Linked DNA regions of Oryzias latipes. The protein of the gene in region 2 purifies or fractionates together with the protein of the main gene of each other region. This does not show direct contact. Links are inferred from orthologs where the notes say so. Each region holds a gene or a part of one and is shown on either strand. Other genes may lie near its edges.

Region 1 (12,651 bases), on a different chromosome or scaffold from region 2:
ATGCGAAGAGTACTTTTTTTGGCAGCTGACAAACAGATTTGATAATAAAGGTGAAGCAGAATTACAAGTGGGAGCACTTTGAAAACATTTGTTCAGGAAACCCCCTCGAGAAGGGAGTGTAACCTCCACGACCTTTGGCCCGTTAACCTTCCTCGTGCTGACAACTCCACTCTGGGGCTCCAGAGGGAGAAAAACACGACCTGAAATGAAAGCACGGCCTCTGCACCGCGGCTGAACGTCTGCCGGAGCGTAACAGACCTTCATGACAGCTTTTATATCACCATTTCTTCATAAAATGTTAATTAAGTCGAGTTTACGTTTGAGTGCCGGTGACTGCAGTAACATTTTCTCCTTGTGGGTCACAGTTAGTGAGGCTTCTACAAAGGCAACAGTGTTAAAAGCTTGGAGAACGGAAGATGTTTTATCAACGAAAAAGGGAGAAAGACATCAGAAAGGACTCAGCAATAAATCCATCAAGCACATCAATCGTGTTGCGAGACTGCCCGGTAAGGACATTTTCAAATAGATGATGTGTCTCTTCGTAGAGGAAAACAAGTCTTCTCAGGATCCAAGAACTTCACCTTGTCAGACATGAGGCTGCAAGTAACTTTGGTTAAAGCTCTGGAGAATTTATGAGTTTCCCTGTCAGAGCATGCGACTATTAGGTATAGAAATGCAAACACATATGAGGCATATTAATATAAAGGGGGCTCTCAGTCTCTTACATAACATTTGTCAGTCGTCCAAAAGGGCTTGGATGCAAGAGTTGAAGGTATAGTCCCATGCATCCGTACCGGGGTTGCAGGTTCTGCAAATTTTTGGGTTGTTTGGGTCATGGAAGGTCGTAGAAGGGACCGGGAGTGAAGGAGTGCAGGTGTGCCTCCAGTTCCCTTCAGGCTTGTTAAAAATTGACCATACCATTGTTGTCTGTGTAGTAAATGTATCGTGAAGTGTTCGTCACGACTAACGTATGTTGCATGCACTTATGACATATGGGTGAGTTACTGCTTTATTTGCCGTCGGTAGCTGTTGTGTTGTTCCCTTTGGTAAAAACATTCAAACCATCCTCATTAAAGTCCCACTCCAATCATGTTTGGATCTATCTTCAAAGCATTCCAGTGGTCTTTTAAGGATTTTCATGCCGTTTGTAGCCAAAATCAAAGCGCCTTCATTCGAGCGGCAGGGGTTCATCACAAATCCATCATCACATCCGAATGGGGCGGAGCCGGGAGGGTGTGGCTCGCCGACTGTGGCAGCTCTGTCAAAGCTACTGGCTTTTTCCGACAGCATTAATTTATTTGAATAAAAAAATCCTCAGACTTGCAAATGTCCTCCAGCATGAAAAAAATGCTACAAAAACATGTTAAAAACGCACAAAAAACACCATTTGCATTGAAGAGGGTCTTTAACCTGAAGCGATCTGCTTATCATCCCAGCAGAAATAAGAATCCCAATGCGTCAGTGCAAGTACAAAGCGCCAAGCTGTAGCCATCCCATAATAACTTCCAAACTTCCTTTGGAGATCCCGACACGTGTGTTTTGGTTTCGTAAATGAATTTTGGCTTTGGAAAGTTTTGGCCCCATTTGTTTTTGGTCGTTTTCTCCCGCTGTGATGTCATCATTTTTTGGGGGGTGAGGGGAGGTTGTTCACCTTCCCCAGCATGTATTTTTTGAGTATGTGCTGTTGGGTGACTTAAAGGCGCAGTAAGAGAGAAGAATTGCTCAAAAAATCTGGTCCTTGCTGTCCAGGACTTCTGCGGGACAGAATAATATGATCGGGGATAAGAAGCGCGTAGTTTTGGACAAAATACACATCTGTCCCCCACATGAGTAACATTGAATCTGTGAAATGAAAACACACTTTCGCTTTCTGGCTTGAATTTGGGTTTGTTGTTGCTCTGAGTGAGGAGGTTAAGAAAAGCACTGAAACGTGTCCTTCCACATTCAGATTTCCGTCTGTCCGGCAGCGGCTCCCTTCCTCTGGGAACTATGATAGCGGACAAACCTCGGGAGTGGCGGTTGGAGTGAAGTGAGGTGGACCTGTCTAATCCCACTTCCTGTAGGAGCGCTTCATCCTCTGTATTGCAACAGAGGATGAACTGTCAGAGAGCAGGATTACAAAGTCTTAATCTAGAACAATATATTGGCTTAGTCAGCTTTCTCAGACACACTTATGCTTGTGAGACTGCAGCAGTGTACAGATATGCAAACTAGACGTCTGGCGCCATTTTATTCCACCATTGAGAAGAAAAGAAGTTGATGGGGATTTACTACTACCTTTTCCTAATCTGGTTGATGAGCAGAATGAAACAACCTTTGAAGGTAATCCTGCAAATAACTATCGCAAATGTTGGACATGAAACAGGCTTTAATCATCAGGATTCCTCAGAAACATCTAGATTTTGTGGAGGAAGAGTGAGGATGAGCAAACAGAGACCTGAGGGGCACGGTTTGCGTCAATACATCCTTTTCCCAGAGGTTTGGGCGTTAAAAAAAACAAAACAAAACAAGAAAACAAAGACAAAAATCACACGAGAGAACGTGTCAGAACATAAGCTGAATGAAAATGACACAAAGATGTGAACAGGTCTCTCCTGAGGACAGGCTTCTGGTGAAAGCACTGACGGAGTGTTATGTAATGCTGCAGGGAGTCTCTTTACCTCTGGCACCATCTAGTGGACGGATTTATCAATTGCAAGATAATCCATTTTAATTTTCAATTCTTTTCTTTTTGCTGTTGTTAACAAATTCTTGTGGCATTTTTCTGAGGATGGAGGATGTAAATAAAGGAAATGAAGCTAAAAATGTGCATTTTTGAGTATTTTTTTATTCAAATCATTGTGAATCAGGAGCATGTTAAAAAAAATGCAGGTTGACAAAGATCGTGCTCGCCATTTTTGTTGCAGTACTAATGTTAGGTCGGGGTTGTGAGGGGCTGTGAGCTGGCAGAGAGCTCAGTTACGGGTGACTGGAAGGGGGAGCGGGGGAGGGGGTTGCTCTGCGCCAACAGTCCCAGTGACAGCTCAGAGGCGAATTTCTAATGAACAACTGCAGAAACTGTGTCTTAGAAAAAAACCCAAGTTTTATGATTTTTGGTTAAAAACGGCATCATCATAATTAAGAGAGCACTGGAAATGCTTTGAAAACAGATCTAAAGATGATCGGAGAGGGTCTGTATTATGTGTGACTGTCAAAATAATATCAAATGTTTAAAAAGATCTTTAAATCCTTTTTCAGTGTAACAACATACGATGTCTGTCCTTCTTTATATGAGGACTAAAGGAAGTGAGACGTACCTTTACCAGACACAACTTCATTCTCCGTCCGCCATCGAAAGCCAAACTGTCGGTTGCAGAAAGACAGAAAAGTTGACCAACGGAATCAGTTAAAACTCCCAGAAAAACATGAAATGGGTGAAGCAGCAGAATCTGAAGCTGATGGGTAAACGCTGCGTATTTTATCTGCTGAGTCATGAATTGTCTCAATCATCACAGATGACATTTTAAGCACAGTAAGTCAAACGCACATCCATAACATTGTTTACTGAGTGAATTCCACACACACGTTAGGATTTGTTACCTTTTTTTTTAACCCTTGTTCTATCTTGTGGGGTCCAGATGACCCCACTCCCAACGTTGGGAGTGGGGTCATCTGGACCCCACAAGATAGAACAAGGGTTAATAACTGTGTGTGCCAAATGTCAAATGTCCATTTAATAAATTGGCATTTTAGGGGGAAGTTTTTTATTGTGTGATTCTGCTGTGATCTCTGTGACATCTACTATCCTTTTTCTAGGGGGGGTTAGAGTGATGTTCACGTTGCCCCTTTGAATCATTTCCTGTTAGAAAAGTACACAGCAAAAAACAGGCCACCAAGAAAGTCAAGAATTGTTCAAATACTTTAACTGAGCAGAAGAAAGAAATGTAAAATAAAATCTTCCAATGGGGTAAGAGAAAATATTTGACCAAAAATACTAATATTAAGAAAGTTTTTCAATGTTTTCTCAAGCTAAGATTATATTTCTATGAAAAAACGTTCTTGATCAGATTATTTTACAGAAAATAAGACATTTGGTTCTTGAATCAAGGTCTTCTTACCTTCTTAAGACTCAGTTTTTGCAGTCAAAACGATCGAATTTATTTGAAAGGAATCCGAACAAGTCATATGTAGTAAAGCAGTGTTATTCATATCTATTTATTATTTTATTCCTTTCATAAAAGATGTTTGACTAAATCTGTTCTTAACATCTGTAAATCCCCTAAATAGACGTAAATCTGAAAATCTGCTAACGTTCAAATCACTTCAGTTCGACACAACGTTGCTTTTAAAGATCGCCGTCGGACCAGAAAGCTGTAATCTTTTTGAAGGATAAAGTGTAACAAAGGTGGTCAGAAGCCTCTGGGTTCTTTGTTTTTCTTCACCTTGTTCTCCTTGTATCTGCTAAGGTCTGCTATGCAGTACTCCTTGAAGAGTTTGTCGTAATACTTCTTGGCCAGCTCCTTTTCCCTGGGGGAGAAAAGGCACCGGTTGAGGCGAGGGCATCGACAGCTCCGAGTTCAGCGCCGGACTCTGGAGGATCACCATGTCATGTCTTCTTCGTCCTCGTCCCTCCAGAGGAAGCGGTGGTTTTCGCGCAGAACGTCCAGATCCGTTTTATCTTTCACCCTGAAGGGGAAAAAAACGTTTGACAAAAACCAACAGAGGTTCCAGAGAATCCGATTCCCAGCAGATGAACTTTTCAGGGAAGCGGCTTGAATCTCTACGTACCCAGAGCGTTTGAAGTCGGCCATCTGCCCTCCATAGTAGAGGATGTAGTCGCCGACAAACTTCTTATGCCGCTCAAACTAGTCATTTGCTTAAGGTCTTCCTGTTTTTTGAGAGATAACACTTGCAAAGTGCAAAATAAATCAGTTTCTGCACTAAAATGTTTCCAAATGACCAAAAACAGAAATCATCCATCCCAACCTATTAAATTCTGATTTAATGTTTATTAAAAAAAGATACGGCGTTCAAGGAAATCAGGTGGGCTCTCCTGTTCCGGGCTTCTTCTCTATAGAAAAAAAGAAATGCGGTTTACAACAGAACTGAGTAAAGACAGCAGAGTCACTCATTTTGCCTTCCTGAGCTCTATTTAGCTACATAAACAAAGAAATAAGAAAAAGAAGTAAAGAAAAACTTGGTGGAAAAATTATAATGGGCTTATTTATCACTCAAAATACCATCAGAGGTTCATTTTTTGGTTAAGTGTTACATGTCAGAACGGAAATGGTGTATGTGTGTGTGTGTGTGTCAGGTGAGTTACCTGTCCACTTCACTCGAGTGCAAACTGCGGTGAGCGACCTTTGAATGTTGACCTTTCTGGAAAGGCTTCTGCAGGAGTTCCTCCTCGTGTTTCCTTTCAGACATTCATAGAGTGCTCATCAAATCAAATGTTTACAGCACTTTTCATACTCATTTTTGATTTCAACTGCATGGAATTTGGCCACCTCAGCTTACGAGCTTTGTGTTCAGGAGTGTCAGACAAGAGAAGCAATGCTCATTGTTAACCTTTGTGTTGTGTAATTATCACTTATTTATTTGTTTGTTTGTGTTTTTAGTACAATGTAGTAACATAATGTGTTGTCAGGACTCATTCTTTATTATGAAGTTGTGTGTGTCTGTGTGTGTGTGTGTGGGGGGGGGGGGGGGGCACACAGAAGTTTTAAATCTTTAAGGGAAAAAAAAGCGAGGTGGGAAAAGTAGGAATCTGGCTTTGTATTTGAGTGAGGAAACAATATTTCAGGGACTTATCCACACCAGCAACCCTCCCCTCTAGGGGACCCTCCCCCCTAATCAAAGCCAGGAGCGAGACCATTGACTGTATAAAGGAACTGGACAGAGGGATTTCAAACAGGAAGTACCTGCTGGCTCCAATTGGCCATAGATTTCTATACAGAAATAAACAGTTATTTATCAGTCATTCACCAGAATGAGTCAGAATAAAAAAGTTATTTAAGGTATAAACGGACCAATCAGATGCCTCAGTAAAAGCATGTGGTGCCCGCTGGCCCCCACCTTGGACATTTGATTGACAGATTATCCTGAGTCACTTTCAGTGGAAGGGGAGTGGACTTCCAACAAGCTTGCTCAACAGCAGTCGCCATAGAAACATGGCTACGACCAACTCGGACCAATCACTGTCGGCTGGCAAACGGTGGCTCCCGTCTCGCGGAAAAAAACGGCTTCTGAATTGGTTTCATTTCGCTGGAGCCGAAGGTGAAGTACTTTCTATGGGTGACGCCACAGCCGCTCAGTCCAGGTCTATATACGCTCTATGAGCGAGACCAGGAAGAGCAACCCTGTGCACTGAGGAGGCTGGTGTGGAGGATCCCTCTGAGGAAAACACTCAAGTTCAAACAAAACATAAAAATAATGAACCACATGAAAGTTAAAACAGAGATTAATCAAAAAATAAATGGTAAAAAAGCATTAAAAAGGGATTAAAAGATATATAAATAAAAAGGATTATATCAAGCAAGGGGGGGGGGGGATTATGAATTGATAAAATCATTTAAATATCAAAGAAAAATCTTTCTTAATTTCATCTTAAAGCTAAAATAACACAGTTACAAGACAAATAATAACTGAGTGCTGCAAATAAAAGACAGCTGATAGAAAATGTCTCTATAAATCTATTTCCTTTACAAATGTGGACTCTTGTAGATGAAAGTTTTACCTTTTACGAGCTCTCTCTGAGGATTCTCCCTGTTGATCTTCATCACTAAAGTCTGAGTCATAGTCTCCCCCACCATGGACCTGCAGATTCAATCAAACCTTCACTAAACAACCAGGATGGACGAAAATCTGTGGTTAGTAAAAACCATACACAAGGTCATTGAAGTGATTGAGTAAAGTACAACTAAAGCATCCAAATCAAATAAAAACAGTCCTTTAAAGACTTTTTTTATGTGTGCAGCAGACATGGATTATTTCTCACGACATACGGGACTCATTTGTGTTTAACACAACCGGGTTTAGTTTGCTTCATGAAAAACATGGAAATGTTCTTTTCTACCGCCGTAATATCATACAACGAATGCGGAAATATCTTTAAAACCCTTTTTGAGAAAGAAAAAAAAACACTATTATTTTTGTCATCCCTCCTCATTCTTCTCGGATCTAAGACAGCAAGTGTTTTGTTAAAAAATAAAAAATCGCAAGTTCGGATTATTTTCTGCTGGTATCATATTAGATTCCCATTAATATGATCTGAAAATTGTATCATAGTTTATCTACCTGTACAAGATTCTCCATGAGTATTTTTTTTCTCCCGAAGCTGCACACGAATGTTTACATTGACAGACCGTCGGCTGATGATGACGTCAGTGAGCACAACAGCGTCGCGGTGTGATTACGTCATGCTTGTTTTTCCCCGCCTGCATTCGTTTTTATTAATATTTTTATTGTTATTTATTTTAATAAATAAAAAATGTTATATAAATCTTTGTATGTTGTAGCATTTTAAAAATCACAAAGGCTGAGTTATTTTGAAACCTTTTTTTTTTTTTGGGGGGGGGGGGGGTCCTTTAAAGTCAAAACTTAACAGAAGACTGTTGTTGCTCTTATTTATCTGTCGTTAGCCATAAGTAAATAATTTTAATCATTTCTTTTATTAATCTTATTTCAATACCAGTTGCAAAAATATATCACTGTATTTAGGTTTGGACTGAATGCACCTAAAATATTAATAAAATATTCGAAGTTTCCCTTTTTTGTTTCTAAAAACTCATTGTCAACATTAAATTTGTCCAGAGTGCATCTTCACTTTAATATTTATAATAGAAATATTAAAGTGATAATATTTCCATAGACAATACATTAGAAAAATAAAAGGAGAATAATTTTCTAAATAACTTTTAATTGTAGTCATTTTTATTTTAAAGATAGGGTATTCCTTTTTTTGTTGAGGTTCTTTTATTTTTTGTTGTTATTTTGAGAATAGATTTAAATTCATCAACTAAAATGCATCAAACACTATTTTATTATTTGGAGGTTATGTTCAATTTTAACTTTTGTTAAAATTTACATAAGTATCGACCTCTTAACCCAAACGCAAGTCACCTTCCACTCTTTTGTCATGTCTTACAGAAATATTTGATGGGGTTAATGTTTCACTTCTCTCAAATCCCACATAATGTAATGGATACATAAAAGCTGTCACCATATCAGTGCAAAATACAATTTATACATAAACGTTTAGGTATGTAAGGTATGATGGATACCATGTGTAGGTTAAAGAAAGTATATTTCGGAACAAAAACAAACAATTCAATATTGAATGAATTGGAGAATAAGAATTATGAAGTAAGTAAGTAAATCTTTATTTATACAACACTTTTCGCAGAGAACTACCCACAAGGTGCTTCAAAATGTAAAAATAAATAAATAAATAAAATCAGAGAAAGAACACAGAATGGCACAGGGAGTCTGAAGCAGGTAAAACCCAAATAAAACACACTCAAGTATATGAGTGAACAAACAAACAAATAAAAGTGAACACAAGAAAAAGTCAGCTAAAAGCTCTCCAGAATAAAAATGTCTTAACTTGAGTTTTAAAACCCTCAACTGAGTCGATCTGCCGCAGAGACAGAGGGAGGTCGTGCCAAAGTCGAGGAGCGACTGCCTGAAAGGCGAGGTCTCCCCTATAGTTTTAAATCTAGTTTTTGGAACACATAAAAGATTCTCATCAGTGGACCTCAAGGAACATGCAAGAGTGTAGGGAGTTAGAAATATAGTTCTGGGTTTGTCAGTGCAAGGCTCTGAAAACTGAAATGAAAATCTTAAAATCTATTCTAAATTTAACAGGAAGCCAAGGCAGCAATAAAAGCAGAGGGGTGGGATGAGTGGGCTTATTGGATCCTACTAAAAACCTTGCTGCAGAGTTTTCGACCAATTGGAGACGTTTCAGAGAGTCTTTGTTAAAACAAGTAAAAAGAGCATTGCAGTAGTCTAAACGAGAAGAGATAAGAGCTGAATCAGCTCAACATCAGACTGGGATGAAAGTATCTTCAGTTTGACCACGTTCCTCAGGGGATTAAAACAGTTTTTAACTAGGAGCTTTGAGTGAGAGTCTGGAGATGAATATTTGTCAAGCCAGACACCCAGATTCTGGAGACTGGGCTGGACAGAGGAGCTCAGTGAACTGAGGTGTCTTTTGATACTGGGTATCATCAGGGGCAAAAAATGTTGTCTCTATCTTATTAGGGTTCAGAAGTTAATGGTTGTCATTTAACCAAACTCTAATGCTGGCCAAGCAGTCTAGCAGATAAAAAGGGAAAAATCATTATTTTAATGTGGCCTGGCCCAATCTATGTTACATATATCATTTATATTATTATTTTTACTGATTTTGGATAAATATTATCAGTTTTAAATGCTCCCTCCCAACCCCACTGTCGTTTCTTTTATGTTATTTTAAGTTCCTGCGTAATCTTTTTTGCAAAGCAAAAAGACAAACAATCAGAAACAAACCTGTTATTTTTTCCTGTTTCTGTTGATTTATGTGACGTTTTTGATGAATGGCCTGTAAATTTCTAAACAGTCCTCCAATGAGGCCATTTAAGGCCAGACTATTATCAGCAGACATGCTCCAGTTGGAATTTGATTGAAAAATGAAAGCAGACTATTCAACAAAGACTTTAATGTTGGAACAAATGGCTCAGTTTTACACACTAAATAGCTTATCGGGCCTAATATCGATCTCTGAGGTACAAAGGCTGTTTGCAGGCCTGGGAAATGTAGATGGAAAAATAAAAAAGACCATTATATTGGGGGGGGTTGTTCAAGGCTTGGAATATAGTTAATAGCCTGGGTGAAAGTTCAATACATTGTGGGAACACATTTCCACTGAAATCAACAAAGGACTTTTTGTCAGCTCTGAAACAGGACAGGAAAAGGAGAATATTTCTGCTTTAAATTCAAATGGAACCCAAGTCTGGGTTTGGCCTGTGTGCCCTGTTTATTCCATGAATCCATCTTCTTTCCCCTTTCCCATCATTATCAGGCTGGAGCAGGGAAGAAAGGAGGCAGCATTTGATGAGTGGGGCAGGTGCATTTGCACAGAGCCTCATGAATAGCAGCTTCCCATTAGATTCAGAGACGCGCATAAATAATAGCGCCTCTAAAAAGTGCACCTAAGGGCCTCCCCTCCTCCTCTTCCTTCTCCTTGTCCTCTCCATTTCTCTTTTTACTTTCTGGAGCCCCTCTAGGCATAAGAGAGAGGCGTCTCTTCTTACTTCAGACACCTTGTTTCACTTTGGGAGGATGAGATCACCAAACGACAGCAGTCTGGGATGTTTGCGCTCTTGCGTCCCACATTAGTAATCCTGCCCCCTGCAGAACAAATCCGTTGGACTGGTGCCTTCCTCGCAACACACAAGAGGCATCGACTCAAGCCTGCATCACAGCTTTTTATTATTGCAGAGAAAAAAAAAGGGGGAGAAAAAGAAGAGCGCAACATCGTTTGGCATGTTTTTGCGCGCAAGTTTGAAGCCGGGCGCGTCGGGACAGCCGGGATGGAGAGGCTGGAGGCTGCTGGTTTGGGTCGCCGCTGCCAGTTTGGTGCTGATTGACGGACGGAGGGTGAAGCAGCCCAGATGCCCCGCTGGATGCACTTGCACCAAGGATAATGCCCTGTGCGAGGATGTACGCTCCGTGCCGCACGCCTTCCCCTCCGACGTGCTGTCTCTGTAAGCGCAACTCCAGCCTGCTCTCCGGGGCGCCACGCACAGGTCCCCACTCATTTCTCCTCCGTTTTTTAGGTCTTTTGTCAAGTCAGGATTCAGTGAAATCACCGGGGGGAGCTTTGTGCACACTCCCCACCTGCAACTCCTGTGAGTATGTCTGTTTACATCCATTTGGGAAGGAAACAAACAAAGGAGGGGAGTTATGCAAATTCAATGGGATTCCCTGTAATGGTGTCAGGATTATGCAATGAACCACATGCTCGCAGAAACAAACAGCTGGGACTGAGGAACAAAAATACAGCCTTCTCCTCTCCTCGTGGCCACTTTTATCAGCGTTGATGGATTGATTTGGAGCCATCATGAAGGAACCCAAGTCAGATGAAAGCAGCTTGTCAGTGAGCACAGGTTTCCCAGACAAAGCCTCTGCTTTGAGGATTCCATCTTCATGTTCTCAGTTGTGGCAGAAGGAGCTCTCCAGAGGAGGAGGAGGCATCAGGGATCAAAAGAGCGTGACAAGAAGGAGGGGGCCGGGAGGGGGGTAACTAATGAGTCTGTTTTCACCTCCATTAGACCCACACTTCAATCAATAGGGCTTCTATCTGTGACAAAAGCTACAATCACTGGGTTAAAAGAGACATGATCCATCCTTTTTTGAGTTTTGGACATCCTACGACTGAAATATCATCTGACAAATTTTATTACTAAGTCATTTAGCGACAATGTTGCTCATTTTGGGGGGAGGCACAACTATCGCATATTTTCTTTTAATATCTTAATAAAATCTCACAATTCAAACCTTAAAATACAAACATAAAAAAGGAGAATTCACAAAACATCACTGAGATCAAATCAGATTGGGATTTCTGCATATGCAGCATCACTTTGTACTAAATATTCTAACCAGGGTCCTTAGAAACTGTGTCTTTTCTGTGAAATATCCCGCTGGATCATTTTCAAGAGACACTTGGGTTTCAGATTCAGTCGTTGGGGTCATCTGGACCCGATGAGCAGATCCTAGTGCTGCCACTGTGGTACCACAGGCCCTGATTCAACCAGCCCCAGTGTGGGGTGCAGGTAGAATATTAAGGGGGGCAAGTCTGGATGTGCTGAGTCTTGTAAATGCTTAGAAAACCATGCTATCATCATATCAGTTCATCCATCCATTCATCTATCTTCTCCTTTCATCAATTTGATTTGATTTGATTTGTTAAGTGTAAAGATGAATGCTCTTCTTGACACTGGCCTCTGCATTTACCGGGCTTGGGACAGGCACAAGCAGGACACTGGTTTGTGCTCTATTGAGGCTGCATTTATCCTTTGTTTCTTTTTATGTTTGTCTATTTGTCCGTCTAAATTTTTAAATTCTATTTTGGTTTCTGTTTTTTCTTGTTTTTTGGGTTTGTTTTGGTTTTTGTGTTTTTTTTCTTGTAATTGTTGTTTCTTTTAGTTAAGTGTGGATATTTGTGGGCTATCGCATTTGGGGGGCAGTTATGGCATTGGGGGGGGGGGGGGGGCAGTCACCGTATTTTGGAGGTATTGCCCCGTATATTTGACCTTGCTCCGAAACATTAAGTGGAGAGGCGGAGCAGACATGCTTGGCTGCACTTGCCTCGCTGATGCTAATGTATAGTTTCATTACTGCTTGTGCATCCCATGCTGTTTTTTTTTTTTTTTGCTAAGTTCTAATGTTAATTTTTTTTGCAGTTTAGGGTATAACAATACCTAGGAGCGCCTGTCCTGGGAAGGGTGTTACTCTTGGGAGGGCGGGCCTGGCCCACCCTTGCCTACCATCAACCGTCGGGCCTGATTTTAACAAAGGCTCGTCCTTCTGGCTTTAAAGCTTTTGTGTCTCCACAAGCATGCTTTTGTTATTGACCTTAAGAACCACATTTTTAAAAGAAGCAAAATTCTGCAGTTTTTCAGATCA
Region 2 (12,745 bases):
GTTATTCTGCATCACATTTTTATACAAGCAAAACTGCTCTGGTATGTCCACATCCTACGGGGAGGGGTTGGATAAAAGATGAGAGTTTGTAAACCCAGAAAAAAAAAGTCTGTTTTTTTGGTGGTCTATCTTCCCTCCATTTCACAACAATTTTTAAAAAAAATTTCTGGTGAAATATTAACTAACATTTATCACTCTTTTTACAATACTTGTTTTTGGATTAAAATGATTAACATTTTACATATCTTTAAAATATCTTACGGATGTTTTGCTAAAATCTGAATTATTAAGTAGTTTCTTCATACATAGAGAGGGTAACATCCTCATTAAAATTGATATCATCTTTTTTTCAAATGACCAAACATGGAGCAGCAGATTACAGTTCTGGGGGGGAAAAATTGTCAGTAGGCATAAATGTGTGCAAGGTCAGAGCTGTTTCAATGCTTTGTGCGGCAGGAAGAGAGCATCCAAAAAAGCAAGTTCCCTAAACTATGAAGAAATACTGTGTAGGTCACTAGCTAATGCTTTAAGTCAAATCTCTGGATGTCACATTATATACAAGCAAGAATGAAAGCATTTCCCTAAAATTAACTTTACCTTAGACGTCACTGTCACAATTTTCACGAGTGATTTTCTATTTCTCCTTATAAAGCCAGAATCTGGCGAGTACTGATCACCTGCTGCTTAACGCTAAAACCTAATCATACGAGTAAACTAAAGCCACAAAACCACTGAAGCTCCTGTCTGTTTATAAGAGTCTTCTCGTGCAGATTGGGCGGCTTGTTCTGTGTCATGAGTCGTGTGTGTGTGTGGATGAATTACATCACATCACTCAAAACAAGCGATGCAGAATGAAAAAGGTGACCATAATGAAAGGGAACTTCAAATACCAAAAATACTTGGGTGCCTATTCTCAAAAAAAATGTTGAAAAACAACAAGATCTTGCAGCCATTTTGGACAAACGGATTGTACCATATAAAGCACATCAAAGAACAAAACGAAATAAAGTTTTTACATCAATAGAGGCCGATTTCTGGCAATCAAGCTCATCGGGAGCGCGATCTCAGGGAACTGTTTCTTCATCTGTGCAGATCTCCATTTTATTGTGAATTTCTGATGTCGCAGGATGTTTGCTCCTTTGAAGTGAGCTCCAAACTTTTTTTTTTAATGTGCAAATCCATATCAGGCATCCAACGAACTTGGTAAAGTCAGAAAACTCAAACAAGTTCATACAAACATCCAGTTAGTGTGAAAGGATGCAACTGTCAAGAGGATAACCTCGACTATTTTAGGATAATTGAACAAAATGGGCGTTTTTAAGCAAAGTTAATTCAATCTTTCAATTGAAAAATAAAAATAAAGACATAAAACAACCCCATAATGAGGGAATCAAAAGTGTTTTGGGATTAACTTGCTTTTTGCAGAGTTCATCCTCAGTTAGGACCAAACAGTGCCGTGTTTATCCGTGAGCTGAGCTGATGGCAGTTTTCTCTAATCCACGCAATTGGCTGGATCACAAGACAAAGTCTGAGGGAAACCACAAGATCCATTTGCTGCTTTTTAAGAGGCCCGAAGGCTTCCATTCAAACAAGACGACAATCGGAATTTCCTACATTTCCTCTTTTGGTTCCCAAACAACAACACACAGAAACTAGAAGAGATGCTACGACATGCTAGAAGTGGAAGTGGCCCCTTTTACTCATCCATGTTCCTAATGCATCTCTGTGCTTTCACGTGCTTATGTGTTTTAGGGCATTTTTAAGCAGAGAAAAACATTTATAACAAGTGTAAAAACACGGATTTCTACCATCAAAAATCACGGCATGCTTCTTCTTTTCCGCCATGCATTTCCAACAAGATGATTGGAAATCACAACATGCAAAACCATTGAAGCGATATAATTTCCCCCTAAAACATATCTATATGAAATTGTTTGAATATAACCTCCCTAAAAAGTATAGTTTCTTAAAGTTAGTTGTTTGGCAGACTAATCTTAGGGTTCGAGACTTAATTATACTGATCTGTGATTTTTTTTCCTGCGTGGATTTTTTTTTAACTTAACATTTTTCTACATCCTCTGCGACTAGAAGCTATTCCTCAGGTGTAAATTCTCCTGGACTTGATGATCAATCAGGGTCAGGAACACGTTACAAACCAGCATAAAAACAGCCCTGGTCTGTCTGTCCTGCAGGCCTCTGCGCCAGACCTGCCGCCCTCTTCCCCCCCATTTAACTGGAATCTGCCTCTCCTACTTTTCGGCTCCAAAACAACAACAAACTGTCTTTATTTACCTGTCCCAGGCGAGTCCGTTACGGTGAGGACGAAGAGAAGAGAAAAGAGGAGGAAACTGCTGCTATCAGCCTTCGGCAACATTTATCCTCCATTCATAGTAACTCTTCTCTATCTGGAAAATTTAATAATACCGAGGGTCTGCAACGCCTCCGCCCGCTTCCAAAACACAACTATCACCGCCGGACACGTCTTAAATCCATCTCTACACACTTTAGGTGTCGTTTAAGGGACTTAAAGAAGGTATATAAACCATAGTCGCATTACGTAGATAATCTGACCGAACAGCTAACGCTAGCTAGCTAGCTCCCGTCGTTAACGGCGTCCGTCCTTTGCTCGCTTGCTCGGTGCGTAGCGGCGCTCATCCAAGATGGCTGCGGCCTCCCCCATCACAACAATTCCAAACATGCGGCACGGGCGGGGGAAGCGCTAGAGGGGCGGGGCGGAGCGCGGCAGATCACAGCTACTGACACGGCACGCGCCTCCTGGAAACTTCATGTAAATAAAGGTTTATTTTGAATAAAAGAAAAATAATAGAGGAACCTTTATTTATTTAATTTGATTTCGGTTGAGCTAAAAAGGGTTGTATTCGCAGTGGAACTAGAGTAAATAGTGAAAATGTAGAGATTTACTTTTATTTAAACAAGTTTTATCTATCTATCTAAATGGATTTACTTAATAAGGAGTTTCTTCATACATATATGAAGAATATCATTTATATACAGTACTGACCAAAAGTTTGCACACACCTTCTCATTCAAAGAGTTTTTCTTTTTTTTATGACTACGAAAATTGTAGATTCACACTGAAGCATCAAAACTGTGAACTAACACATGTGGAATTATATATGTAACAAAAAAGTGTGAAACAACTGAAAATATGTCATATTCTAGGTCCTTAGTAGCCACCTTTTGCTTTGATTACTGCTTTGCACACTCTTGATGAGCTTCAAGAGGTGGTCACCTGAAATGTTTGTCACTTCACAGGTGTGCCCTGTCAGGTTTAATAAGTGTGGTTTCTTGCCATCAGTTGTGTTGTGCAGAAGTCTGGTGGATACACAGCTGATAGGCCCACTGAGTAGACTGTTAGAATTTGTAATATGGCAAGAAAAAAGCAGCTAAGTGCAGAAAAACAAGTGGCCATCATTACTTTAATAAATGAAGTTCAGTCAGTCTGAAAAAATTGGAAAAACTTTGAAAGTGTCCCCAAGTGCAGTCACAAAAACCATCAAGCGCTACAAAGAAACTGGCTCACATGTGGACCGCCCCAGGAAAGGAAGACCAAGAGTCACCTCTGCTGTGGAGGAAAAATTCATCCGAGTCAGCAGCCTCAGAAATGGCAGGTTAACAGCAGCTCAGATTAGAGAGCAGGTCAATGGCACAGAGTTCTAGCAGCAGGAGACTGTGTGAATCAGGCCTTCATCTCTGCCACTTATTGACAGAAATAAACCAACACCCAAATGTCCTCAAAAAGAGATGCTTTTTTAAGTATCCTAAACCCAGTTTGTTTTGCTGGAGGCAAAACCTGTTGAGTGAGTTCTTGTGTTAAAAATGTGGAGATGTCGGTTTCACAAAGGCAAAGGTTTAACTTGATTTTTAAAACGTCCCAAACAGTCATACTTAAACCAGACACTGATCTTTGCTGCTAATCTTTAAGTTATTTAAACAGTTTTTTTCCTTTAAATTACTTCAACTGGATGTATTGGAAGTTAAGCTTTGTTATTATTTTTTATCATCTTCGACAGTTTCTCTGTTGTAAACTTAGTTTTACTAACAAAAGTTTTAAATGTTTTTCCTTCTCCTTTAGGTGATAATTGAAACCCCATTTGAATACTTTAAAATGTTTTCCTAATTTTATTTTTATGAAATGACACCAAAAAAAACCTCAGGTTTTGCCTTTCGACCGAACTTATTTGCAAGACAACAAAACTACCAATGAGAACTTACATTAGGGGCAAAGCAAGTAGAAACAAATTGTAGGTATCAATGTTTATTTTACAGCAATGAAGAAAGATGCAATAAATAGGTCTTTAGAAATTTCAGTCCACATTTTTTATGTCATTGCTGCAAAAAAACGGACTATTTACATAGAAAAATCCTCGTTATAAAAGTCTTTTTTACAATGTTCACAGAAAACTGCTTCTAGAAAAAGTCTGATGCTTTCCGTCTTTTTGGAAGCTGCAGCAGATTGTCTGTGAGTGATGTGAGGTCTTGAGAGCCGGGAGTTTTGACTTTGTTGGGCGTTGGTGTTCCCGAAGGCGTGTCGGGTCCAAATGGAGTCTTGCAGCCTGCCCCTCTGTGTGAGGGTGAAGGGGTGTAGCTGGCTCTTAAGGCTTTGTCTGTGTATTTGCTTGACGTCCGATTAACAAGCCGCTGCAAGGCGGGCGAAAGCGCTGGACTCAGACCTTTGGGAGTAAGACTGCAACCAAAACAAAATGCTTTTTCAGTTCTTTGTGTGTGCCCAAACAGGTTAATTAAAAAGGCAATTGTCAATACCTTGCAAGGTTCTCTGTGACCTTCCGTAGGGCCTCTTGCTTCTTTGCACGGTTTTTAGCCGCAGCTTCATTCGCCATCTTCAGACCCAACCTTTCCCTCCTTCCTGGCTCCGGAATCTTCAAAAAACAACAACAAACAAACAATGGCAATGTTCACATTTTTAAAAATGCAAAGGAGCTAGAAAACAACAATTATTTCATTTATTTTTTTTAAGTTTGGCACCTTAAAGGATGGGCCATGGTTTCTCTCAATGTATGGAGTGTCTGAGCCGTCCAAGCGAAATGGGGTGCTCTCAATCTCACCCCAGGTCATAAGAGGGGACTCAGAAACACCTAAAAAACAACAAATACTTTTAGTCGAAAGCTTCTTAAGGAGAAAGAGCACATGAAACCCGCCTATAGATAATTTTGCTGCCTCAAAGGAAACTTCAGCTTCAGCAAAGTTAGGGAAAAAAAAGAAACAGCAGCGTGTTTTCTCCTCAGAAAAACAATTACTATGGTAGCAGATGCAAAAAAAAAAAAAAAAAAAGACAGTGTATACAGCTCTGTGTTTACAGGGAAAACAAAGGCATGACAAACCCGCTCTGCTGTGAAACTATGGGTTAATCTTGAGCTGGACAGACATATTAAGATAGGATCCCAACAACTCCATATAAAGTTTTAGTCTTCAGGCACAACCACGGTGGTTTACTCACCAGGTGCGACCAAAGGTGTTCTCTCATAGCTGTATCCGTTCACTGTGGGGGATTCCTGTGGGATTAGCTCTTTTCCATCCGGACCAACTTTTCCCTGTTTAAACTGAAAAAAACACAACATCATGTTAGCAACACGATTCAGGAAAAGATGACTTGTTAGTAGCACTGCCAGGTAAGAAAAAAACACTTCATAGCTGTACACATGAGATACTTTAAATTGTGTTTTAAAATAAAACAGTGTACCTGTGCGTTGAGAGCTGCTGCCTGTTGTATCTGGCTTTTGTTGAGAGCGTTGCTAAAGGGGTCTCCGGAAAACCGAGTGTTCTTATGGACCACTTCTCTTGGTTTTTTGAAGACACTGTCGTCATCTTTAACACCTGATAAAATAAAATAAAAAATCTCAAATAGACTGGGCTTACTGTAAACCTTCAGTATAGGAAATAATTTAAATGAATACTTTACCCTCTGGATAATACATAAGGGCATTCTTTGCCTTGTACTCCCACGTCTCTAGACCAGCTTTTACACATTCTAGCGCAGCTTTCTCCGCCGGTGGTAAAGCCAGATTATTCTCGTGGCGCTGAAAAGAAAGAAAGAAAGCTTTTGAGGCAAGACATTTTCAAAGCATTATCGCTGCAATTTTTGGATGCAGTTATATGGCAGACACAATTAAACTGGTAAACGTTAACTCACAGATTTCATAATTGGCTTACATAAGAGAGGCCATGAGTGTATTACCACAAAATCTCTAATGTAGTTGTAGCTTCAAAGCTTGTCATGTGAGCCTCACTATCATAACTGCTTCACACCAACCTGTTTGAACTCTGCCTCTGCTTCATACAACCAGGCATGCTTCAGCTTCTCCTTATCTTCTGCCAGTTCCATTATCTGCTCAAAGGAGGCATTATCCTCACTGGTAGTTTTGGCAAGAAAACGGTCCAGATTGGGAAGCTTTTTGTCTTCCCCATCATCCTCCTTATGCTCTATAAAATCATACATGAAAGACAGGGATGATTTAGTGCTCGCCAACTGTAGGCCTAACATTTTCCATTTCATGCTTAGCAATTTCTGAGCACATGGATAAAGAATGTAACATATAGACAGATGACTTTTAAACAGGAACTGAGGTTTTTAAGCCAATTTATATGAAATTGTGAACATGAGACTAAATCGTTACAAATGTAAATAGTTGATTACAAACATTTAAAACTAACCCCCTTCAGAAACTTTGCTGCAGTGATTGGAGGATGGAGATTTTGGACAGCCCACTGGGGTTTCAAAGCTGGCTGGGGTCACATCTGGCTCACAAAGGAAAGGTAAGACAACAGAATAATAATTACAACAAATCGAATAAAGAAGTTTTGTTTTTCTTTCCGTCTACACAAACAGAAACAGAAAGACTGGTTTATTACTCACAAGGTGCAGAGGATTGTGGGGTTGATTTGGTCAAATTAGATCCAAATCGGATGGATATCTCTCTCATTTTCTCAAGGTCTCCATTCTCTTCTGCTTCTAAATAATCCCTTTGAGCTTGCAATTTTGTCACATCTGGGAAAAAGTCTCTTTGGATGATTTTCTCTAAGCTCTATCAAAAGTAGACCAGAGAAAAACACAAGACAAGTACAGTCAGTTACAAACCAAAATATCGATCAAGCTAGCTCACATGAAATCTTCACGCAGTCGTAAACATATCGAGACGCTGGCTTCGTTACCTCAATGTACTCCTCTTCATCGAGGACTTTTCTCTTCAGCTTTCCTTTATCCTTTGGCTCGGGCTCACGAAGAGCTACTGTAGAGATCGCTAAGGGAACGAGCGTCCCGGACAACGCTCTCCTCACGCTTGCGCTACCCTCCATTATAGCCAAAGAATTAGCCTGCTAGCCTGGAAAGTAAAGGCTAGCTTCCCACTTCAAACAAACACTAAATATAAAACAGGAAGTGATTATTTAACTCGATAACGGCGATTTAAATTTCTTACAAGCGTTGTGAATAAATAATTTGGATAAATCAACCCTCGATGTTAATCAAAACACCCGTAATCAGAACGGACTTACGTAATGTCTGATCACTAATCTAACCGGAAGCTCTTCTCTTCTTCAGTTTGGGAGAGAAATGTGACCTTCATTCCAGTTTGACTGGCACTGCCATCTAGTGGTAATTCCTTTTAGTGCAGTGCCCACTAAACGTTTCCTCCTGTCACGTTTTCCTTCACCCTCAGGTGAACTCTTTACCTTTTTGGCTTTCAGTGTCAGTCTATTTCTTTTCTGATTAAATCATTTATACCTGCCACAATATTTTTTTATTTTTATTGTTTCATAGCAACATGTAAACTGAAACATATGCAATTATAATACACACATGAAAAGCAATATTTCCAAAAGGAGTTAACAGACAGAAAAAAGAAAGATAATAGAAACAAGAGGTTATTTAAAGCAGTTTAAGCTTTTTTCTAGGTAAGCCTGTATACTCACATGATTCCCTTTTTCTCTAATGACAACACTTCCCGTGAAATTCTAAACATCCTTACACTACATTTTTTCAATAAACAAGCTGGATACGTGGACAGCAGCAATTTCTGTTTAACTGCAGCTTAGGAAAGAAACAGGTTTAAAACCAAGTGTTTGATTTTTCCCCAAAGTACCTTTTTAAAAATGTGGATTTAGTTTTGAATTTGAAATTTATAAAATTGTATCCAGTGACTGAGAGTCTAAAAAAGACGGATGTGTCAGCAGGAACCGATCATGTAGGTCCCAAAGTGCTAAAAAAAATAGGCTTGTGGCAGACATTAAAATTTTATTAAATAATCATAGTTTTGGCAAAACGATTCAAAAACAGAAAAAGCATGAAACAAAATGTGTAAAAAAAATTGACAAAGCAAATGACCCATGAAAAGTAAAATAAGCTTAATATCAGACATTAAATGCACTGAAGATGATTGACCTGAAGACAGCTGTGGATGATTATCAAAAGAAAACCAATAAAACTGGGTCTGAGGAGAAATCGAAACCCGGGAAATAAACCATAGCTAGGATCGAATAAACCAAACAAAAGAGGCACACAGACATTTATAAATATTTTAAGTCACATAATTGGAAATGGAGATTGTAACATAAGAGATTGCTTACGGTATGAACCCTTTCAGTTTCTTTCATAGGCATATTCACCAAATAATTCATCTGAATTCAATCCCATTTCACTTAGACATTGCAATATTGACTAAACATATTTTTTCCCACCCCTTGTTTTTTATCAAAAAGAATCTGTAGTTTTAATAATAGAAGTAGCCTTTACCTTCAAACTGGCAGCCAATCATGAAAAAACAGGCTAACACTTTCAATTTTAGCCACAAAGTTGGCCTTTCCATGACCAAAAAGTAGTAGGTGTACTACAAGTAGTCTATGCTAAAGGTGAGGCAGTACAGTTGAAACCAAAAGTTTACATACACCACATGATAAAAAACACATATGCTTTTTTTTTCTTATCGTCAGATATAAAATAAATAAAACTCTTCCTTTTTAAGGTCAATTACAATTTACAAGTTTATTTCTATTTGCTAAATGTCAGAATAATTCTTAGATACGTTTTTGTTACTTTTATCAAAGTCAAAGTTTACATATGCTCAGTATGCCTTTAAAAAATCTGGGAAACCCCAGATGATGATGTCATCTATTTGGAAGCTTCTGATATGTTTATTGACAGTATTTGAGTTAATCAGAAATACAGTACACCTGTGGATACTTATTAGACAACATTTGAAACACACTTACTTGTTTGGAAAGCATCGTGGGACAGTCAAAAGAAAACCTGACAAGACAAGACAATTGAGGATTCGCACCCAAGGAGGCTGGTTCCTCCTTAAGTGCAATTTCCAGAGGCGTCACGTTCATCTGTTCAGATAATTGGACGCAAGTGTAAACATCATGGGAACGTCCAGCCATTTGTGTCGCCAGGGAAACGAGTACTGTACAGACATGGACTGAAAGGCTACTCTGTCAGGAAGAAGCCATTACTCCCACAAAAAGAAAAAAAAAATTTGAAAAGCCAGATTAAAATTTGCTAATGCACACAAGGATAAAGACTTAAATTTTTGGAGACATGTCCTGTGGCCAACTGTAAAGCATGGGGTGGTAGCATCATGTTGTGGGCTTGTTTTGCTGCTGGGGGGACTGGTGTACTCCACAAAATAGATGGCATCGTGGGAAAAGAAGTGTATGTGGAAATATTAAAGCAACATCTGAAGACATCAGCCAGAAAGTTCAAGCTTGGGCACAAATGGATCTTCCAAATGGACAATGGGTTAAATCCTATTGATTATTCATGGTCAGAGCTGAAAAGGCTTGTACATGCAAGGCGACCAACAAACTTGGCTCAGTTACACCAGTTCTGTCACGAGAAATGGGCCAAATCTTATGAGAAGCTTGTGGAAGGATATCCAAGATGTTTGACCCAAGTACTGCAGTTTGAAGGACATAGTACCAAATATTAATTAAATGTATGTAAACTTTTGAATTTGATAAAAGTAATAAAAATGTGTCTAAAAATTATTATGACATTCAGCAAATACAAAAAAATGTGTATATTGTAATTGACCTAAAACAGGGAAAGTTTACTTTTATTTCATGTCTGACGGTGAGAAAAAAAGGCATATATGTGTTTTTATGTGAGGTAACTTATAGTTTCAACCGTATATTTTAAGTTGACTTTTTATCTATATATTGTAAATTCAATCTGATTTAATGTAGTATGAAGAAGTATTCAGTTAGTATATTTCCTACATAACTCGTATCGTATGCTTGCTATTCTTATACTCAAGTATACTTGCTAAAATAAACTTTAAGTGTACTACTTTTTTGCTGAAGGCTACATCTTAATTTTTACAAAAAAAAGGTGAGAAAATGTTTATTTTGAAAAAAATGTTTCACAACCTTTGGCAAACAAGACCCCTTTGCTCTTTTTAAATGAATGTTCAAGTTTTTCTTAACGGCTTGATTACATGTTTTCATATTCATTCATTCATTCTGGCTCATATATCAGCTGCCTTAAAAGTTCAGTAAAGTATTTATGAATTTTTACATTCCATCTGGTAAATATTTGATCTGATCAACCCTTTAAAAAGCAGTAGCAGATACAGGGTTGAAGTATTAAACACACACATTTGTTTCAACAAATGAAAGTCTCTTCTGACGTCTCCACTTTGCTCTTCGGTTTTTAAACCAAACCTGTGTTTTAGAAAAAGGGAGGTGCTGTTAAGAAATAACAAGTTAATTTTTTTTTTTTTATTCCCAATAAATGATGGACGCAGCACTTCCTACCTCCACCCGCTCTTCTCTGAGATGAGTACGCTGTGCCAGCTTCTCCCTTGTGTTCACATCTGGATACTGGTTCTGCAGAAACAGCTCCTCCAGGGCGTCCAGTTGCTCCTCAGTGAAAATGGTGCGGTGACGTCTGGTTCTCCTCTGCACCTGACCAGGCGGCTGCTCCTCCTTTTGAGCCTCCCCCAGCCTGCACTGCTCTGAAAGCACCGCTGGACTCCAACCGTACGGACAGGCTGCAGACGTGAGAGATTTAAAGCCAGAATTCTACCAAGAGGATCAGCTTGTGCAAAGAGCGTCTGGTCCTACCGTCGTGAATGAAATCGGCGTGGATGATGTCTGCACAGTGGGTGCAGTAGCAGCAGCAGCAAAGACAAGCGTGACCCACCGACTCAGCCGGGCCTCCATCCGAACACACCGCCCTCTCTTTGAGTCCAAGAACCCTCGCTCCACATGCCAGTTTCTCCCCTAAACTATTTGGACATTTGCTCAGAATGCTTTCAATGGAGAAGGAAAACTTTTGTCTCTCCGTCCTCATCAGTCCATCCATCTTCAGAGAAATTCCAGGGAAAGCACAAACGATTGCAGGACACAAATCTTTCTGATATTTCAGCCTCAGCGGCTTCTCTTTTTCTACGCTTCCCTCAACAGCAATTCAAGCCCTTATAGGAAAGAAGAAGAAACCCCCCCCCCCTTAAAACTATAATCCCCTTGCAGACTAGACACATAAAATGACTGAAACTTAATTCCTGGCTAATCTGGGCAGTTTTGTGAAGAGGTTATGGAGGACGCTAGATTCAGTTAATCTTTCTTCATTCCTTTCTCCAACAGAAATCAGATTTCAATGCATAAAATGAGACATGGAGAGCCCCTTAGATCCTTATTGTTGGGGCTTTAGAGAAAAGGGATTGCTTGGTATTAGAAACCTGGATTTAAAGATGAACATTTTTGTGCGGCTCAAAACTGAATTTTACAAGTAGCTTTTAAATTGATATCATGTCATCACTTTTCGACTTATTGGCCATCGGTAAATCTGTGCGTTTGTTCAGGTTGATATAAACAAATGTGTTTAATATTTGAACACAATTAGTGATGGATGTATGGCTTCCTTTTCTTGATTTTCGTGATGCTTTAAAGATAAAAACACACTGAAGAAGTAAATTCAGCACACGGCTTGTATTCACAATCCCGCGTCTTATCTACGCCCTGCAGTCTTTTTCACTTTGACTCCTCTGACAATGTGCACAGTCGAGGTAAAGCTATTACAGGTTAAATTCATCCGCCCAGCAAATCCTGTGATTTCATACAAGGCAGTGCGTTGCACTTTTTTGTTGTTTTCTTTTTTTTTTTTCTTTTTCGTTCGAGGAATTAATGGATTTCTGCAATCTCCCTCCTAAGCCGCCTTATAAGCGGGGTTTGAACACAGATAACAATAAACACCATCTCATCCTTTTCACAGGGGTTTAATAGTGTCCGGATAGTCTGATGTATAGTTTGTGGCTAACGTCAGATTATTATCTGCACGTATTGTGGCTGCCAACAGAAGGACTTGTGCCGCATCCGTGCAGGGCCAAAGGGGTCAAATTTCATTACTCAGGATTAAAATGATAAAGGTTGTTGTTGTCGTAAGCAATATTTTAGACAAGAAATAAAGGGAACAGAGCTGTCAACTCTCAATGGAATTTTTACTGTTTGTCATGAGCTGATTGGACCAAAGTCTGTATTTTAAAATGACTTCAGAGAGGCTAAAATGTGATAATGAATCAAATAATTTGTTTTGTTAATTTCAAGCAGCTACATCCAAAATTGACAAATATTGTATTAACATTTTTGCTTCTTTGCTTCAACTTAAACTCAGCATGTCTTCCGTTAACAATCACTATTTAATTAAGCAAATGTGATTTAAGTGTTTTTTTGGTTTTGTTTTCTGATTTTTTTCAATCTACATGCATTT

The links.
Region 1: the proteins of ess2 (region 2) and protein FRA10AC1 purify together in Homo sapiens (co-immunoprecipitation; 3 studies listed by BioGRID and IntAct, counting the BioPlex papers as one, with this or other methods). This does not show direct contact. The link is inferred for Oryzias latipes from reciprocal best matches to the Homo sapiens genes ESS2 and FRA10AC1.

What each region holds. Positions count from the first base shown.
Region 1 is NC_019877.2:6,166,380-6,179,030, forward strand, and holds the start of protein FRA10AC1, read right to left. Parts: upstream 7,390-12,651; 5' UTR 7,294-7,389; coding exon 7,276-7,293; intron 6,796-7,275; coding exon 6,716-6,795; intron 5,396-6,715; coding exon 5,303-5,395; intron 5,051-5,302; coding exon 5,005-5,050; intron 4,845-5,004; coding exon 4,768-4,844; intron 4,666-4,767; coding exon 4,582-4,665; intron 4,507-4,581; coding exon 4,422-4,506; intron 3,343-4,421; coding exon 3,297-3,342; intron 1-3,296. Other genes in the region: lgi1 (leucine-rich glioma-inactivated protein 1), read left to right, coding at 10,507-10,727, 10,800-10,871. UniProt on the Homo sapiens protein: May be involved in pre-mRNA splicing.
Region 2 is NC_019870.2:13,786,339-13,799,083, reverse strand, and holds ess2 (splicing factor ESS-2 homolog), read right to left. Parts: upstream 7,620-12,745; 5' UTR 7,336-7,619; coding exon 7,192-7,335; intron 7,065-7,191; coding exon 6,896-7,064; intron 6,778-6,895; coding exon 6,694-6,777; intron 6,463-6,693; coding exon 6,293-6,462; intron 6,060-6,292; coding exon 5,942-6,059; intron 5,857-5,941; coding exon 5,723-5,856; intron 5,583-5,722; coding exon 5,480-5,582; intron 5,118-5,479; coding exon 5,008-5,117; intron 4,902-5,007; coding exon 4,786-4,901; intron 4,709-4,785; coding exon 4,432-4,708; 3' UTR 4,264-4,431; downstream 1-4,263. Other genes in the region: dgcr2 (integral membrane protein DGCR2/IDD), read right to left, coding at 2,293-2,374; gsc2 (homeobox protein goosecoid-2), read right to left, coding at 9,272-9,283, 10,792-11,027, 11,101-11,341. UniProt on the Homo sapiens protein: May be involved in pre-mRNA splicing.